Styela clava: one gene and its partner. The protein of the gene in region 2 binds, or shares a complex with, the protein of the main gene of each other region. Links are inferred from orthologs where the notes say so. Each region holds a gene or a part of one and is shown on either strand. Other genes may lie near its edges. The genes, in order: eukaryotic translation initiation factor 4E type 2-like and GRB10-interacting GYF protein 2-like.

Evidence for each region.
Region 1: the proteins of GRB10-interacting GYF protein 2-like (region 2) and eukaryotic translation initiation factor 4E type 2-like are in contact, whole or in part, in a crystal structure (PDB 5NVM), measured with the Homo sapiens proteins. The link is inferred for Styela clava from reciprocal best matches to the Homo sapiens genes GIGYF2 and EIF4E2. Residues at the interface, in NP_001096616.1 of Homo sapiens: Leu38, Ala39, Asp40, Tyr41, Arg42, Tyr43, Gly44, Arg45, Met48, Leu49, Leu51, Phe52, Leu53, Asn56, Lys57, Ile58, Pro59, Asp61, Leu62, Asp64, Glu66, Phe67, Pro69, Ile70, Leu71, Gln72; in NP_004837.1 of Homo sapiens: His54, Pro55, Leu56, Gln57, Tyr64, Arg66, Asn81, Lys83, Gln84, Ile85, Gly86, Thr87, Val91, Glu92, Phe94, Trp95, Arg96, Phe97, Ser99, His100, Met101, Val102, Leu107, Phe113, Glu149, Asn150, Leu153, Leu156, Gly157, Glu158.

Annotation. Positions count from the first base shown.
Region 1 is NC_135256.1:19,554,467-19,565,015, reverse strand, and holds the start of eukaryotic translation initiation factor 4E type 2-like, read left to right. Parts: upstream 1-6,577; 5' UTR 6,578-6,699; coding exon 6,700-6,761; intron 6,762-7,629; coding exon 7,630-7,834; intron 7,835-8,908; coding exon 8,909-9,013; intron 9,014-9,518; coding exon 9,519-9,671; intron 9,672-10,145; coding exon 10,146-10,282; intron 10,283-10,549. UniProt on the Homo sapiens protein: Recognizes and binds the 7-methylguanosine-containing mRNA cap during an early step in the initiation. Acts as a repressor of translation initiation.
Region 2 is NC_135257.1:11,069,996-11,080,077, forward strand, and holds the start of GRB10-interacting GYF protein 2-like, read right to left. Parts: upstream 4,203-10,082; 5' UTR 4,147-4,202; coding exon 4,106-4,146; intron 3,638-4,105; coding exon 3,533-3,637; intron 3,307-3,532; coding exon 3,168-3,306; intron 1,834-3,167; coding exon 1,746-1,833; intron 938-1,745; coding exon 761-937; intron 284-760; coding exon 213-283; intron 1-212. UniProt on the Homo sapiens protein: Key component of the 4EHP-GYF2 complex, a multiprotein complex that acts as a repressor of translation initiation. In the 4EHP-GYF2 complex, acts as a factor that bridges EIF4E2 to ZFP36/TTP, linking translation repression with mRNA decay.

The DNA of each region.
Region 1 (10,549 bases), on a different chromosome or scaffold from region 2:
AAAAATATTTGACAAATACGGCAGCCATATACAAAAAATAAGTGATTCCGGAAAAAATGGTAAATTTTACGATACGTATTGTTGGCATTGGCTGTGTAGTGTGTATATGTATATGATTTTGCTTTATATGCATATTTGGTTGACTATATACTATAGGTATATGATAGGATAGGATAGGATTTACATATTTATCCCGGGGGAGAGGAAAGCCGATAAGACGGCTTATCCATATGGCGAACCACGGCCTCTCGTCCGGTTACCATTCCAAGTCGAGTATGGGATTAGTTTTACTGTATTCAGTGTATTGTTTGTTTTCGGAAGCATGGACTTGGTGGTGGAGGAAGCCGTAACCGACCAGCGGTTACGTGAACCACCCAACGACGGCGAGGAGTCCAGCAATCCTCTCGCACATAACCATCCCTGCATGGGATTCGAACCTGCGAACCCACGCAGAGTAATTAGAGGTGCGGTGGCGAGCGTATTCCTAACGCTTAGCCCGTTGAGCCACACCGCCTGATTTGGATGTGTAGTCATTAAAATAATTCTATATGTATATTGGGTTATATGTATATGCTGTGTATGCACATTACTTGAATAAATACATATTTTATAGAATTGGTTGTATATACAGCAGGGTGACTCAAAAAAAAACGGAACCCATAATATTGTTAATAACTTATACAAAAACATCATTAAATTTTGTTTATGCTTCAAATTCTGTTTGCGCATGATTATACCCGAAAGTTCCAGGAATCTAGGTAGGGATATGTTCGAAAATAATTGTTTTTAAACAATTGTTTTAAAGCAAGTTTTTTTTTTGTCTGTTTTGTTCAAAATAGCTTTATCGTTTGATTTTTTTGCATTAAATTGATTACAGCTAGAACAAGAAAAGAGGATAAAAACTTGCAAATTTCTTCTTATTCGCAATAAACCTCTCGAAACGCCACAAATATAGATCACTCGCCCTTACACGCCTCCTTGAGGTGCAGCACAATGCGTCCGCAAACGTGGTTGGCGGAGGAAGTCGCTTCTGATAAGCCATTACGCAAACCACTCTACTGCAAGGAGCCCAGCAATCCTCTTGTACATTGTCACATCACTCGTGGGATTCGAACCGGGACTGGATATATTATTAGGCAAAGTAGCCGAAGCCTGAGGACTTCCTTCCTCGAGGGTCTTGTCAATCAATTTTGAACTGTTATACATTTTTAATCGTTTTTAAAATGTAAAGGCTTATTTCTGAATAATGTTAGTTTCAAACTTAACATATGTCATAATTTTTGTTCAGGTTATTAATTCCAAATATTTACCGTTTAAATCATTAAAAATGTAAATACGGCCACATAAACGAATTTGTATAACTTATATTCCTTCAACCTTAAAGACAAAGTATGCTAATTCAAATTATTTAAACAATTTTATATCGTAATAATGCCTTTATTTTATGAAAAAAATATCGATATATGGCTATATATAATACTAATTCATCTAAGCTACAAAGAAGGTAAGAATTATCATTATATAAAATATATGTTATATATCTTAGACCAGATATCACTAAAAACGAGGATATTGCGAGGGCTTATTTTCTGGTGCCATTCCGTTTTGTATGTACGCCTATGTATATTTCCTCGATTAGGTTATTTCTGATGTCATTCGTACAGAGGGGCCCTTCAATTAGCATAGCCTGGGATGTTTCATTGTATAAATACAGGCATGTATCTAACTTCTAACCCGTACGTAAGGTTGCGGCCGATCTAAGTATATTTTTCATTATTGTATCTTGTTTGCCGAATTTAGGCGGTGATTGATCGTTTGATCATTTTCTCGGCTAGCTGTCGCCAGCTGCAACGAGGCCGATCCAAGGATCTCACTAAACCATTCAATCGGTAGTAGCGACGGGCGTTGTGTACAAAGGACAGGGACTCTTCCCGGTTCACTGGCCGTTACTCAGGGAATCCCTGGTGGTTTCTTTTCCTCCGCCTAATAATATGTTCAAATTCAGCGGGTGCTCTCGCCCGAACTCAGGTCCTATGTGTCTCGCGGACTGCTTCCACGGCACGCTGGCATCGCAAGTCGTCGACGCCGGCGCCGACCGACGGCACATCGAGCGCGGTGCCCAGAAGCCACCATTGCACTTGGCTGCCTTGCTATGCCAACGTGTTACGCGTGTCGCACGGGGCGTGTGCCCCTGATTCAAGGCCGCCCCCACGGCGGTACCCAAAGACAAATGCGGTCGGCCGAGGCCTACCACCTTCGGTAATGATCCTTCCGCAGGTTCACCTACGAAAACCTTGTTACGATTTTTACTTCCTGAACATAATCAAGTTTGATCGTCTTCTCGACACGCCGACGCGGCCGTTGCCAGCCGCGACGGGGCCGATCCAAGGAAACCACCAAACAAACAAACATTCAATCGGTAGTAGCGACGGGCGGTGTGTACAAATGGCAGGGACGTAATCAACACAACTTGATGACTGGCGCTTACTGAGAATTCCTCGTTTAAAGGGAAAAAAAGTTAAAACAACGTTTTTTTCATCACCATTGCCTTTTAATAGCGACATGTTATGCTTTTTGACATTGCAAAATTTTCGGGGCTATTTTAAGAGTGCTTTTGTGAGTTGGCGCCTGTGAAATGGGTTATGTGTTTCAAACCATCATTATGATTCATCGCATATAACAATCTGTTTTTTAAATGTACCGGTAAAGAATTTTAGCCTAGTCTATCACAGCTATTTCTACACTAATTTATATGACTGCAATTAAATTAAAACTCCTAGGAAGACAGGGTGACCATTGAATTATCTGATTTACATTTAAGTTTCCGAAACACAACTGAAAGATAACGAAAAGAGTTCAAAAACGCGAAAACGAGGTAATGTTTACGACCACGCTTGAAAATCTGTCTGAGTGAGAAAAGTGTCTGAGCAGATGTCAACAGGAAGCATTGTTACGTCACTTTTTGCATCTTGCTGATTGGCCAAGATCACGAAGTAAACAAGAAGTCGATGCTCTGGGAAAGGTCCATTGAGACCACTTTCTGCCATTACTGCATTAATTGCTGGACTCTGTGAAGTTCTGATGCTGATTTAGAATTTATGTAATTTAGTAGTTTGTAGATATTTAGGAAGCTTTAAATCATCGTTTAACATTGCTGGAAGGCCAGCCCACATGTGATGCTAGCCCACACCCGTGTGACGCCAGCCCACACTAGTGCAGTAGTGTGACGCTAGCCCACGCTCGTTTTTGTTAGGCCATACCGGTACTCGGTGTACCCAATGACATTAAACAACATGATGCGCAACTCCGGCTTTTTTGGCCGAAGATCGTATCCGATAGTACGCTCCAATGCACATACTTGGCGAGACGAAAACGAGCGGATGTGTGCTGCTTTTAAGGCATAGCACGAATGGTGTTCGTGTCTGCTTTGACAGTTGTTGTCGATTTTAATGATATTTCGGAAAGTTGAGGTAAAAAGAAATCGGAAAAAGGTAAGGTAAATACTATTGTTGTATATCACACCCGGGCATCGCACTGTTAAGTACACGTGGGAAAGCCAGCCTTTGTCAAATACTACGAAGTTATTAATTCAGTACGGTAAGTAGTTGCCCATTCGCCGAAATTGCATATTTACTTACCCCTTATGGTTTCAAATAGTTCATGCACCTCCATTTAGATTTTTTTTAATCAGTGAGGATATATACATTTGCTCATTGTAACATACTATTGCGCATTCACTTTTATTTGCGTATTGAATCAAAGTGTTAACAAGTTCACCTAACATTTCACTCATGACGGTCTATATTGTATAGTCTGATCTCTCAAGTATTTGGAGCCACGAATGCTTGTAATTTGCTGACCAACCCCTTTTATTAGTTGGTTTATATACCAAATTCAGTAAAACATTTTTTACATAAAACATGGGATATTGGATTTATTAGCTTTTCCATTCTAAATCATATAGACTGCTTTATTTATTCTTAACGAAAATTAATAAATCTCCTCTCTTTCTTCAGATGTGAAAGTTGTGGACAAACCTGTCTAAGCATTGTGAGACTCCTGCAGCACAAGAGGCAATAGCAAATATAGTAAGTATATCAATCAAGAAATTAAGCCGACATAATGCAAAGTTTCAACTATTCGTCTAATCTCAATTTCCTATTATTTATTCACAGGACACTATAGCAGAAGGGGAGTCTGGCGACATATCAGCGACAGTGTGATTCCAAGAAATATAATTAGAGTACTCCATAAATGTTTGCAATAGAAAAACGACCTATGGGGGCATGCAAAGACATTTGACTCCGGTAGAGTTGTGTATGGCCCCCACGTCGTGCAGGTCTTGAGGAAAATAACTAAAAATTCCAAAGCGTAAGATTGCATAGGCGGTCTTATTTGTAAAAAGGCACAAAACACGCCAGACATACTTAAAACAGCTTTGGAAAATGAGGATAACGGGTAACTCACTGCACCTGTGTTATATTTGGTTCATCAACTTTTGGTAGTACTATAGAAGAAATTCCGGAAGGGGTATAATCATCATTCATGATAAAATACTGTTATATATATTTTGGACAACTTCAATCTAGACCAGGGATGTCAAACTCGCGGCCCCAGAGAACTTTCAGTGCGGCCCTCGAACGCTAATTGTAATAGTATTTTGGAAGTTTTTTTTTATCTAAATGTAATAGATTTTTCAAACCTTTTAAAGTGAAATATGTTTATATATTAATATAATTATACAACGACTTAGTTACTAAAAATCAATATCAATAATAATTCAAGCAATCCTATGCCACGCAATGTGGTACGAAATGTCTTGTCGAAAAAATCTGTCATTTTATTTTTTACTGATCTATACATGAAATGATAAAAGTAACTTTTTTGCATTACTGGAATTAATTAAACATTCGCAAAGATCAAGATTAACCCATGATCATGTGACCTCGTTAGTTAGAGTTGGTACTATAAAATCATTTCAGCCTAGCCTTAGTATGCTGGTGACACAAAAAAGATGCCAAACGTCAGGACAAATGTAATTAAAAAAACATTGAGTATATACTGTAGTATTTTTGTTAATTTTAGGTTCATATATTTAGATAAAGTCATTTTTAGTGTATGTATTATTCTTTCCTTATCCAAAGCTTGTTCAAAATTGATTTTGATGGTTGTACATAGAATTTTAATATTTGTTTATAAATAATACAGTAACTTGCAAATGTTGCAATAATAGTGGAATGCAAATATTAATTAAATATTAATGTAATTGCATTTGAAATTGAAGAAAATAATAAAACTTAATCCAGCTGTTTAGTTGCATCACAATATATGTCACAAACTAAAACTATCTTAAAAATATCTTTCAAGTATACATTTTCAAAAACTGTTTGCGGCCCTTTTTACAATTTCCAAAATGCAATGCGGCTCTCGAAAACACATGAGTTTGACACCACTGATCAATTCTAGACGATTCAAACATTGCTTTGGGAAATAATATCACTTCAATTAAATTGAAAAAAATCTCGCTATATTAAATACAAAATCGTTGCTATCATAAAGGTAAACCAATTCAGCCACTCGAAATATATTGGCCTTCACAAAGCAATGGAGGCAAAATTGAGAGTTCATGAGCTATGAATATTTGTTATTTTCTTTGTCTTGAACTTTTCATACTCCAAAGCCCCTATTAATTTTTATCAATTTTAATTACCATGGGATAGTCATACATATCTTTAACTTGTATTTTCTGTCATGATGTATTATCTCAATGTGTCAAACTATTAATTAGTGTGCATATTTTGCTTCCAGATGACATAAATGTATTGTCTTGTTTATTACCTCAGCTTAGAGTATTGACAAGAAAAAGGTGCCAGTAAATTAGGTAAAAATTTTTTTTTTTAAACACCGTTTAGAAAAGTAAAAACAGTTTTGTATGACACCCTCTTTAAATGAAATTTTAATCATTAAGCGCAAACAATAAAATTACTAACTTTGAACTTTGTCATTATCTGCAAAATGTTCCACACAAATCTTTCCGCTATCGCGTTTGTAATCTTCTCTGATAAAAAAAAAAACGTCTATGATGTCCAGAATTGCTCTTTACAGCTTGTCTGCCATCCCAGCTTTCCAAGTGAGCAAAACGTCTTAGATATAGAGATTATTTTCTTTCGTTACAAGCGCAAAAAGGCAGGTACTACACGTAAAAAAGACGCCGAGTAGCAAAAGCGAGCGGAAAACGGTCGTGAAAGGCGACGATAAATATGTGCATTGGAGCGTATCATGAAATACAATCTTTCGCCTGTAGTCTTATGGAGTGACGTCAGAGTTGCCTATCATGTTGTTTAATGTCATTGGTGTACCTGAGCCGTGCTTGGTGTCGCATTCGCGTGGGATACCGTATATCACAAATGGTCTATATATTATCGGAGCAACCAAATTTTTATTGAATACCGGTACCGTTTATAAAGCGAATAAAATAGAGGAAAATAGTTGATTGACCCACTGGCCGCAGGTTAAGTGTGGGCTGAAGTAACTTTGGTTGACACTTGACAGATAAATTTCCTCTGACAGTCGGATGTTTTATTTTTACAGAGAACTAGCATAAATCTGTAAATACCACGTAAATACTGGTACGATACATCTGTCAGGCTGTACATTGATTACCGGTAAATACAGAAATAACATAAATATTCATTTTTTATGATCTGGCTGTCAACTACGGCAGTACCGTACGGTTGCACAATGAACAACAAATTTAGTGCGTAAGTACTGAAGTACCGATACCCGATCAAGGGGAAAATTACTGAAATTTCAATTATTAGTTAGGCTATATAGGCTAAATACACATAAAAAAAGTTATATAAAGTTTGCTATTGCTATATAAATCAGTCAGTAAATACTGCAATATACTGATCAACAGTGTGCCAGTACTGCAGTAGTCTACCGGTACTGGGGGTCTAGTACAGTAGTATAGTTTAGTACCACAAGTACTTCCAGTGGGCGTAGTATAACGAATTTAACGATACGAACGGGTTAGGAATGACATTTGCAAAAATTGTTAAGCCAGGCCAACTAGAAGTGCATGTGGTACTAAACTATACCAGACCCATCTACTGGTATATCTGTATATTTTAACTACAGTCTGACAGTTGACCATACACGAAAAGTTACCATATTTCAAGTATTTGACAGTTAATAATAAAATATTTTATTTCTAATATTTAATTTCTAATACAATTATAAAGCTAGCCGAACTTTGTAACATTGGGAGATTAATTTCAAAATTTGAAACCCTTTCGGTACATCATGAATTTGTTTCACACTGTCAGACTGTCGCGGAACTTAATTTGGGCTAGTGTGCGATGGTAGTGGTCATACCAAAAAACATGTCTATGGATCGGACGCTGGTTGGCCAGCTTCGAGTAAAATAAACTGAAGCTTTGTAGCTGGAATCAGTTTTCTTGCACTGGGCTGCAGCTATTGGAATTTCAAACTTGCTCCCGAGCCCTTTTTTTATGTAACTTCTGGTCTGTTACAACTTCCTTCAGTCCTTTATCATCAACAAATAGAGTTCGTATATCTGAAAATAATAACTGGTTAACTCAACCTAACTTATTTTTTCATTTGTAGGTTACAGGATGATGACAGTGGAGAGGAAATCTCTATAAAACCTGCAACAATGGCAGATGAAATGCATCGAGAAGTAAAACCTGGTTCAGGAGAACATTCATTACAATATTCTTATTGTTTTTGGTATTCAAAGAGGCCTCCAGGTCGCCCTGCTGATCCATCAGCTTTTGAAAAAAATATCAGAGTAGTAGCGACGTTTATATCTGTGAGTATCTTTCATGCACAGGTTTTATGATTTGATTACGATATCCTCATCCATACAATCCGTACAAAATAGTTGGATATTCTTAAATTTTGCTATCAAATTCTCGAGGGTGAAAATTGTTTTATCTTAAAGCGAATCAAGATTTTACCAAAGTTTCAGAATAATCAGCGGTTCGACGGTGTGCCGCATCGTGCTAAGCATTAGGAATACGCTTTCCACCACACGTCTGATTACACTGCATGGGTTCGTATCCCATGCAGGATGCTTGTGTGTGAGAGGATTGCTGGATTCCTCGCCGCCGTAGTGTGGTTCACGAAACCGCTGGTCGGTGAAGGCTTCTTCCACAATTAAGTCCGTGCTTCCAGAAACAAATGACTGGCTAATTAATCCCATACCTGACATGTACTGGTAATCGGACGAGAGGCCGTGGTTTACCATATGATTAATCCTTCTTGTCGGCTTTCGTTTTCCCGGATAAATATGTAAATTCTATCCTATCACCAGTGGTAGCATAACTTTTTATGGGAAAAACTTAATTGATTTGATAGGACCACAGTTTTTGAATGATATTGATATATTTTAATAATAAAGGATGGACTAAAATAGGCTCTCAATTAAGCACTTTGGAAATAGGAGAAATAGAGATTTATTCCTACCAAAAATTATAATTGTGTTTTTTTATTTTGATTATACTAGCCTTCTGGAGCACATATGAGGCACACACGAGTCTAATGATTCAAATTTAGATTGGTAAATAAGTAGGCATATTTGAAGGTACTTAAAAAAACATAAAAGCGGGAAAGCACCAAACCTTGCAAGATCCATGACTCATTGCACATTTTTATTTTCCTTTATTATCCTTATTCTTGGTGGGGTGGTGTAGTGTGATATCAGTATCTGATTTATATCGATGGGATTTCTACATTCAATTGTACATGTAATCACGGTAATTAATTATCTATTCAATGACTGCATGATTGACTCATTTTCAACTTTTTAATCATGTAATTCATCGAAGTTGGTGTAAAAAATATAAAGTTTTAACCCACTAGAATAGGCTTTATTCCATTTTAGGTTGAACAATTTTGGAAAGCATACAGTCATATGAAACGTCCTGGTGACCTGAATGGCCATTGTGATATCCATCTTTTCAAACAAGGAATCAAACCACTGTGGGAGGTAGGCACTAGGCAGTAAAGGTCATAGGAAAAATATTCAAAAAATTTATTGCCCACATAGTCTCAAATAAGTCAAGAGTCATCCCTAAATCACCTCATCTATATGTACAATATGTATGGACTACCATTACTTTCATGAATGTTGTGAATTTTTTTTTATAGTGTTTCATTCAGCAAATTTTTGAATATTATATAATATTTGATGGAAATATGCTATTGATTGAATGTTACATTTTGTGAGGTTAACTAGATTTGATATCCATACATTGACACAATGTCTATTTTTACTTGTCTATTGTCTACTACGCTATACATGTGGAATATATTGTATCATGGATTGAAATGGGGGGGGGGGGTTGTGATTTTTTATCAGGAATCCTGTGAATGTTAGATGAATTTGTTATTTAGAATTAGATGAAGCTTCTCTTTTATTCATGAACTTTGAAATGTTCAGAAATTTGAATCCCCTGTTTTCACTTGCTATTTATTTATTTTTTTCATATAAGGATGAAGCAAACAAAGATGGTGGGAAATGGATTGTAAGATTAAGGAAACATTTTACATCTAGATGTTGGGAGAATTTAATTATGGCAATGGTTGGTGAACAGTTTATGGTTGGTGATGAAGTATGTGGAGCTGTTGTTTCGCTTCGATTCCAGGTAAATACACAAATAACACCTATGTTTTATATATACATTTCTCAATGGGACTGATTAGGACTTGCAGGGTTGTAGTGCAATCCTTCCTGGGCTGCGAGCGAAGGAGCTGATCTCACTGACATGTCATGATGAGGCCTATTTAAGTTTAATTGTAGCTTGGTTATGATTGGTGCACTTGTTGAGTATTATCATTTTCAAGGAGGGTCTTCAACGAGGCCTACCCACCATCAATCAGCTTTGGGCATGTTTATCAATGTTGCACGCTTTCGCACCATCCTGCTCAGTGGTGTTGCTTGTTATTGATGTGATGAACAGATTCTGGCAAGTGAAAACTGGCTTGTGGTTCTTGTGTCTAATTGTATTCACTATGCTGTTACACATTCAAAAATCATTTTTTGTTTATTTAAATTTTTTTCCTGCACCCACAGTCTCGTTATTTCACTATAGCTCAAATATGTTATTCAATTACTTCAGGAAGATATAATATCTATATGGAATAAAACTGCAAATAATTCACAAGTTACCACGAGAATTCGAGACACATTGCGCAGAGTTCTCAACTTACCACCAACTGTTATAATGGAATATAAAAAACATAATCAAAGTATAAGGTATGTATTTGTATATACTCTCGTACATACTATCCTATCAAGGCATTATTCTCATTTATATAATTCAGGGATTCTCAACCTTTTTCTTATTAGGTAAACCCACTCATAGCATAGAACAATCGACATGAATTCCTAGTAAGATGAAAACAAATCAAGTGGTACTATTGACAAACAGCTAACAAATGTAAATGGTATTACGAAAGAAATTGAATAAAGTGCACACTGAAAATTAGTTGCCAGCTTGTTCAAATATTATATTTAAGCAGT
Region 2 (10,082 bases):
TGTCATACTAAATAGAATCAGATTCAGAAATATTCAAATTTGAACATTCTGATTGGAAATTTGATTCGAAAATAAAATATTCGAAACTTACATCCCTATTCCCTAGTTTCATGCTTTTATTATTAAATGTTCCAAAAAAAAGCAACATATTTATTAGACACACATTAGCATTAAAAAGAATGATTACCGGTATGTATCCTCATGTTTCATACCTTAGCACTCATGGAACGACTTCTGAAAGTTTTCTGCTCGCGAACATCCCCTGGTCTGTCACGCCAAGTGTCTATGAATATATTATGTTAAACACAGTGCATATTACCGAAGTAAGCATATATAATGATTCTTAACATTGCGGATAAACATCCATCCATATATTGGCCAACTCGAAGTTCTCTCTAATCACAGAGCACCCCTATTTGATAGTGCATAAAAGATAAACTCATTGTTTTTAATCCATGAAATAGTCACTAAAAATTTAATCCTTTTTCTGTCACAAAATATCATATCATACTTTACCCCATAATATATTTGCAATCCTAATCGGAGCAATTGTGGAGATGTACACATAAACAAAATAATTTTGGGCATTCAGGTAAAATATCCTACAATTTATTATCATGTTCACAGGTCATTATCTAATTTTAATCAGATGACCCAATTCAGAAGATGTATACCTAACATTTACTCAATGTAAATACATGACAAAACACCAACACATAACAGATGGGAGACTTTCAAGTACCGGTAACTCGCTCAATACCTTTCCAGAAATCAGGTCTCTGGCCGGAGCCTCTCCACTCCTTCAAACCACCAATCATATCTTCCGCCCCATCACCCTTACCTCGGAGTGAGTCACTGCGCCAATCCTCACTCTCTGATCGTCTCAACAGAGGTGGTTTACGACCTGGACCTTCGTCATGGTCCACCCATGCTGTGCCTGGTAATACACACAATGATAAGTACTAATAATTTTTTTTTACAGTTCGCTGTGACAGAACAGCGAACAGCACGGAGTTACAGAGTAGCAGACAGAACAGAGTTACAGAGCAACAGGATAAATACTACAGAACAGACGCATTATTGAATTTGAAATTGCACTCAACTTATTGGGGATAGATAAATTAAATTTTGTAATATACTATTCAAAATAACAGTGCAGTTTTGTTCCTTGTCATAGTTAACATCATAAATATATAATAATCTGTCTTGAGAAAAACAGTACATTGACAGGATTAGTTGAGGTTGGTAACGATTTATTTACATCCCTAGAAAGGATTGATTGTTTTCTAATATAAATTATTGAAATGCATATTGTCATGAATAAGTAACAAAGTGTTTTTCGAAAATCAATCACATATAGGAAAAGAGAGCGATAATAAAATATAGGAACATATAGGTCAAATGACTAATATGAAGCTTAAAATCAGAGATTGCGTTTGAACAGATGCAGTAATTCACATAGTTATCGGTTACACAATAAGCTGACCAATGGATTCGTCAAAAATATCAACGGGCAAATCTGGTGGGAGACCACAAGCCGATATGATATATATGGAGCAAAATTCTGCGCACCACAGAAAACGAAGTAATACCATCCTAACAACTTTTCAGTACATTGCGATGGAAATCGCTAAAAGACCGTTAGAGGCTACTACTTTATTTTTGTCGTATCTAAGCTTCTTTTAATCAGGAGTTAGACAATTAAAATGCAAAGTAAGGAATATATAACTTAATATCAAAATCACCTCTGCCTCTTCCCCTTCCTCTTCCAGGTATGGAGCGACCTCTGAGACCAGTTGAAATACCACCTCGACCTCGAAAACCGGACGAAAGCTGAAAATAGAAAAATATTCAAAAATTATTTCAATCAAATGTTGTTGTCAATATAACCTTTTCATCTTCTTTGATCTTTTTTAGTTTGCTTGGATTAGAAACAAAGCTCATGCAAAATACCGAAGACCAAAGTGTTTTTAACAAATCAAAAATGGCCGCATACTTAGTTGACATTTTTAATTTTTATATTGTTTTCTGTGATTTTTGCTGTTGAATATAAGATACAAGTTTTGAAATACAGTGACTACATTGGTAGTCAAATGACTCAATACTCGAACAATTAGTTAGTCGACTAGAAAAATTCTGGTCAAAAAGGCTGAGATCCTCCAGTGGAAATTCGTTGCTTGAACACCCGAGTGAGATTATGTCACCCGAACCGCGCATCTAGGCTGCCTCTTGACCATTCAACCAAAGGACACCAAAACCAAAACGAAGTAGTACGGGTATGCAATCTGATAAAATAGTTACCATTTTTCTTATGGCAAAAAAGTCTCAGTACTCTTAATTAAGACCAATCCTGAATGAATTATGTTCGACCACCAATGTATCACTGTATTATATTTGTGTTTCAGAAGAAACATTTGTCTTCTCTATCTCGCAATGATTAGATGTATGATTTATACTTCTTTAACACCGAAGTACCAATACAAATAACAAAAATGTACAGTTTTTGCGGACCCAGTACCCATGGTAAAGAATACTTACTGGTATATATGCATATGGACATCACACTTAATTTTTTGAGAGTTTGTGTATATCGCTCAGACTCATGATTGGCACGGAAGATAACTCATGTGACACAGATGATTAAGCTATTTGATTATGTCTCATAAATTTATTGTTAGTTCTTTATTGAATGACTTATGAATAACCATTTATGTAAATGAATGGAAGAACCAGAATGGGATGAATAAAACTTTTTGAAACAGTCACAGAAACAAACATCTTCCTATATAGAAGTTCGATTAACCTAGAATTGAGTTTGGACTTATATATATGTCTATAGATACAAAAATATGTAGAAGGTGTTATGCGCAACGTATACCAACATGGGTTAAAGCAAAGACAATATTTTCTCTAGATGAAATTTAATGTCATGGCAGCTTTTAATAAAATTCTCAATTACTGAGATCAATTACTGAGCCTTATACTGGAGGATAGAACTGTTGATACTTGCGTAGTTCTGAATATTTAAAATAAATTCAAATCGAACTGTATGTACATGTACAGCTCAGGCGAGAGTGGAAGTCCACGCTATAAAAATCCTTTGCCAACACGACACCCCTATTATCAATTTTACTTTATAGTAAATGAGGAACAGAATAAAAACCGACCTGTGATTGATTAGATTCGGAAGGTCTGAAGGCAAGAGGAGCTTGTACAATTTCTGTAACGAGTGATGGTGCTCTTGCAAGTTCTTCAGGTATTTCAGAATCGTCCACAAACAATGCCAACATCTCTTCTCGACCATACCTGGAAAGAAACGAGTTCAAATCAAAAATCTCCAAACTGCAATTCCAACACATATTCACATCTTGATTTTTAGAAAACTAGAAGGCGTAACAGATGGCAAAAATAGTAACTAAATCCATAAGTGATCAGCTTATTATACTATACAGCATTATACTATAAAGTCATTGTATATAAAAAAAGTTTATATTAATTCCCCAATATACAAATATTCTATAAATGCATTTACCTATTTTCAGCCAGTTTGAATTTTGAAGTAGGCTGTTGAAACTGAGATAGAATCGCTGGTGGACTTGTTGGAGAAGTACTTGCTCCACCAGATAAATCTCGCAGCCTGAAATATCCAAATGAAAAGATTTAGTTTTAATAGGACTACCGAGTTATATGAATGTAACACAAAGTTTTAAAGATAAATCATGTAGGCTATGTTAAAGACTATTCAGTACAGTTTGAAACAATATGAGTTAAGTCAAAAAATGAATCAAGAATAATAACATTTATTACGTTCATGTGCGGAAACTAAAATTATATGGGTTAGAGGTGAAAAGTGTATGCATTCGCAGTGGAAAGTGGTACTTGACTTAGTATAATGAACGCAAGTGTCCCATATTCATGTAAAAATCTTGACTAATGTCAATCATACCAATTCAGCACTTTAAAATCTATCATTAACACTGTATAAAAACTGCCCTTTTCAAGCCTTTATTACCATACTTAATTTTAATATACATCTGTACATAGATATTATCATATATGCGAAGAGATTTTAAAATTCAGCCCCGAGCTGCTCAATCAAACTTACCACTGAGGGCCAAAGTTCAAGGTTTCAGCAGAAGACATCATGTATGTTTACACTGCAATATAGTATGACAGATAATTCAAGCTGGGGTAAAGGCTATAATGTATTTGATTAAAAAAAGGTTGTGATTAGTATGAAAGTTACAATACTACAATACAAGTAATAGCCCACACAGATGACAAAAAAAGGAAGCAAAGGTCACTCAACTAACTTTCCTGTCAGCCTGTATATCTGGTATAGTCAGCTAGTGGAATTATTGTACACAAATTTTCATCCCCATTTATGGTTTTATTACGGACAAAATTTGGGGTCTCGTGTAGTTTCGTACCTAACTAGTGGTCGTGGCGTAACAATTTTTGCACATGTCAATCCTAACTCCCACCAGACTACGCCAAACATTACGTCATTACGATGTCACAATCACGTCATAGAGCTTGCCAAAGTATACCAACAATCGCCCGAAATGGCATCTGTGCCGACGACAACTGGATAAAGAGATCACTAATGGCAGCGATCTCTCTCATTTTCATGATCGTTGTGACGAGAAAACGAGAGAAATTGCTTGCTCGATTTCGGGTGATCGTCTGCGCGTTTTGGACGACCATCCGCATACTTCGGTGGGCCTTATTACGCCACTGTGACGGCGAAATGGCGTGATTTTTCGGTGACGTAGTCAGGTGGGGGTTAGGATTGACATATGCAAAAATTGTTGAGCCAGGTCAACTAGAAGTACATGTGGTACTAAACTATACCAGACCCGACAATCCTCGGGTATTTAATGTATTAAGCTGAAGCGTCACTGCTGAATTAATAGAAAATTTACAAACCACCATTGATCAATCATTGCAGTATTGAATTATACAGTCATACCCTACAACAACTCATGACAGCATGACCAGGTACAGATGTCTGGATGTAGGCTACAGGCGTCTGGAAATACAAAAGTACCGTAGGCCTAGGTGTTTCCAATTTGAGAATTTAATACAGTATTGATCCTCAAAGACCTCAATGGTACCCACTTACCGATTTGAGGTTAATGCGTCTATGAATGTGTCATGCACAAATGAGATGACACGGTAACAAATAAAATGATCTAGATAAGCATGGCAATTTGCGGCCAAACGCCGTGCGGCCAAATTTCAGGAAAATTTTACCTATGAATTGTTTTAGTTTTAGACTATTTGGCATTTGAAAATTTGAATTTGTAAACATGAGTCAACTCGCACACTATTTAGCGACAATAACATAGAAAAGTAGTGTAAGACAAACTTTATAAGAATGTGAGAAAACGAGACAAAAACGCAGGCACACCGAGTCCAACTCCCCCCTGGCCCCTACTAGTCTCCGAGGCTTCAGCTTCTTTCTGGTAACTGATCAACTGGCGAGCTCGCTACACTTTAGCGCCCTCCATCGGGATTTCTGTTGTTCGAGGAGAGAAGAATCTAGGTTTGCTGGGTTGTATTTGTGACAAGTATTTACAATAACTTGAAGAGACTAAGTTTTGTATAATATATATATTTGCTGCTCAATAACCAACTTATTTGCCTTACATGGCTATCTCAACTTCAAATATCATCTCAAGAAAGCATTTCTAATAATAACCTAATATTGCATACAAATTTCATAATTTAAGTCTGTCGCGTCTTCACATAATTTTTGTTATTAAGTGAAACATTGCACGCTTAAAACGGAAAATAAATTAACTTCAGGCACCACATTTATCAACAATGTGGTCTCTGGTCCAGCTACCAGTGAAAGTAGCTCAAGGTTATTGACTAGGTAAAAAAAAATTCCGTGTTATTGATTAGGTCTTATTTTAAGGGGAGGGCTTATAATAAAAATTATTTTTGAAATTCACGCTAGGTCTTATTTTTGAGGAAACACGGTATCTATACCTTGAATTACTTTCGTACTTTGACATCGAAAACAGTTTTGCAATACCGAACTATTTCCCCGGCAAGAAAGCTATCGCAATCATAGCATTTATTTAACTGTTAGTTCCAAACATCACAAGGAAAACAGTATTCTAAATTACTATTAGTTTGGGTTACTACTTATCCTCCTCTATTGCATTGAGCTAATGAATCCGTAAGCATGTAATGCAGGGTGGTCCAAGATTGAAGTGCCACAAGAAAAAGTGTTTGATGTTATTATGTCGCTTAAAATGATACACTTATATGTAACAAATATTACTTAAAAGCATGCCAGACACTGCGGTTCACCATTGTTGTAAGCAGAATAACACGTTTTCTCCCAGTTAGCGTTAAACTCTGTTTTCCTCTGTCACCATTGTTTTGGTACTCATTTTATGATGATAATTTTATAACTTGCAGCGTACGTAAGTGTAGTGATATCGTCAAAGAACAGCCAAGTTCGTTAATTCGGGATTTCAGAACCTAGCTCAAAGCTCAAAGAAACAGGATCGCAAAGTCATATGTTGGTTACGTCACTGCTGCCACATGGCCCACGCTTAAAAATAGAAGTGTGTTTCACAAAACTAAAGGTACAAAAAGTCTCTCCAGATAAGAAGTTGCTTGACCCAAGTTTGAGGTGCGAAGTTGAAATGAAAGGCGCCACTCGTCTCAGACCCGGGCCCTGTCTGCACACGGCAAATCATTTTCCTTGGCCCCCCTACTTCCATCTTATTGTTCCACGCAATTTTCCTTTCATTTATCGCTTGGTTATTTCTAGAAAACAAAGCGCGCCGTTTTGACACGTAATGTTAATGGTGACTCGACACGTGAACTAACCGACCACAGGACGTAATTCCCACATCAGCACCGCCTTGACGTTTATAGATACAATCTTGAAATTCCGTGAAGTATTGTTTTTGCATTTTTCGAAATAAGTTGTATGGTTGTTTGGAATACAATCTAAACTTACACAAATGACTTGACAATGGTTGCTTGGCGCTTAATCAAATAACGATTTATATGTAGAATAATCAAATCAATCAGAAGATGCATTAAGCTATGAAAAATCTCAGGTAAAATGTTAAGTGAAATATAAATCTACAAAGTAATAGTTCATGCAAAATACTTTAAAAGTAGAATATTTAGGGAATTAAACTACAATTAACCTCATTTGTGATATAAACTACTAAATGGGATAAACCGATTAGAAATCAGTCGACCCCACTAATGCTTCAGTCAACAACGTGAGTGCATTGGGCGGACATCTTGATAGGCAAAGGGTTCAAATCTCGGTATCCTAACCCCAGTTGGAATAGGTAAAAAAAACTCAAAAATGTTCTGTCAATAAAAACAAATATCGGTCAAATGTGTAGTGTACGCAAAAATTGTTCTTCGGACTGCGCGGAATGTGTCTGTGCCACGTGCGGTTCGCGTGCCAAGTTTAGTTTTCTGTGACTGCTCCAAGGTGAATACGTTGGGTGTTATTTTACTATCGTTTAATGTAAAGGTCATCCGCGATAAAACATATTGGTGGGGAGCAGCATGTTGTCATATAAAGATATAGTCTACCGCAGTCATTCTCAACTTTGTTTTTAGACAAAGGGTGAACGCTAGAGCTATGGGAAATATATCAAGCCTGTAATTATTTTTTATATTGTTAATATATTTTCCTCTGCCATGTGATTACATACATATTGGTACATACTTCTGCTGTCATTGGAGGTTTCTTTGTACCCGATAAAACTGCTGCAAAAATGTACATAAGATCAGTTGAAAGAGAATATATATATGTATTGTTTTCGTCGAATTAGAAAACATGATCGTGATACAAATGATGTACATTGTACATACAAAAAGAACTACTATCCAGTGTTGGGGAGGTTCTAGTTAAAGAGTAAATTTTTCAGCGTTTATTAACTTTTCTCTTTGTATTTTGGACATTCTTTCAAATTTCCTTCACTGTAAACATTTTTCCCTGCAATTTGTATACATTTCTCCAAACCTGCCTTTTCTGTAAATTTTTTCTCTGGATGCTTCTCTACGATTTATTTTGTAATATTTTACCCGTAATTCTCAAAATATGTTTACCATGACTATTGCCACAGCCAATGGCTGTAAATAGCATATTTCGTTATAGGTGTTAGTGCTTGACCTCACAGCTTCTTACAAAAAACATTAATCTGTATCAATTTACGTGCACTTGTTTTTTGTGATGACGATTAAACGATTGACCGACTGAGTCGACTCATCTAAATGAGATGACTAGGACTAATCATCAACTAACTGCCTTTGCCCTTTTTGAGATTAATTAGACTTCGTACTTGAGACTGGGACAACCTACAGATTCCCAAACTCTCATTTGAGCTAATTAGTTCTTTCTTCCTTGATGAGAAAATAAATCATGATCACTACCACGAGACTTTTATTATTATCCAAATAATTAAACAGCAAGCAATTTCCATTTTGTATACAACATCATAACAGATACATAAAAAATCTAATAGTATTCCGTATTGCTTCTGATTTTTTTTTTGTTAAATTCAGTGTTTCTATTTTATTCAGAGAGGTGCACAATCAAAAAATTTCTGGAAAAATTTACACGTTCTTGAACATGACAGGAAAAGCTTATTAGTTTTAGAAATCTGCAAGATCTATTCATAAGCAAAGCTAAACTCAAAATGCACATTCTACAGTTGATAAAAATAGGTTGGTTATAAGAGTAAACTGCACATATCAAAACTATATCATTCTGGTAGGCAATTTCCCAAGTTGTTTAAAATTAATCATGAAATGATGCATGCTTCGTTTAATAATAACATAAAATCCAAAACACATTAAAAGACTAGTTGAAAATATGTATATTATCAGTTTCATCACAAGCAAGTAATTAAAACCAAAGCTTCAATAAGCTATCGAATCAATTCGTATTTTAGAAAATGCTTTCAAGAATTGTATTGAATACATATTAAAGTTATTTTTCACTTCCAATAAAAAAGCTTCCTTCAAACGTTGCTGCAAATCACACAAGGAAAATACAGGAGCCAATTGACAATAATGAATCAATCAAAGACATTAAAAATTATCATTTTTCTCATACATACACCAAATTCACCTTATTTTCCCGGCCATAAATAAGCGATCAGTATACCATAACAGTTCTATGAATAGTCACACGAATAAGCAAACATTAATATCCATAAAGGATTCCACATTCTTTCCAAATGACAATATATGTTTTGCCCAACTCATACGAAAAAACAAAGGTCTTTTATACTAAAACTCGCACATATTCTGAAACAGCTAAAATAAATCAAAATAATATTAATACTAAGGACTTCTACATACATAACAATAAAAGCAAACTATCAAGTCGTAAAAGTTGAGCCATATTGGCCAATTGTAGCAACACAAATTTTCATCAACTGATATATTATAGCCAAATGGGACTCTTACCCAACAAAATCACTGTTTCATAGCTAGACCATGTAGACCTAAATTTACTGACGGACAAAAAATATTCAGTCCCAAACTTACAGATGATTAGTATTAAATGGATTTGCTCTAATTAAAATGTTATACAATAAGAAAATCAGTGCTAAATGATTACCAGATCACATTCGATCAATCATGGATTGGGGAAACAAACTACAGCAATCCCAATCAAGACAGTTGGGTTGGATAGAAAATAAACTCTATTTCATTATTGATCAAACATGACCTGATGACATATTTATGTTTTTAAAAAGTTTAACAGAAAAAGAAGTGATTAACATCAAATACACAACCTTACATCTATAATAAGTGGCAGAATATATCCACGAAAAGAGCGATGATGGTACTATATACATTTCATCAAACTTGATCAAAGTCAGACGTGGGTGATTTAATGGCCATGTATTCAAAGACATTATTGATAAACCACCCATGTCTGGAATTACCGTAACTGCCAATGATCAAGCTTGATATGGGGAAGTCTGTATCAACAAAATAAGTCAGATAGGAATGGGGCATGAACAAGTTGGGTTAAAATAACACAATATATTCATGCCCCATTGTTGATAGGATTT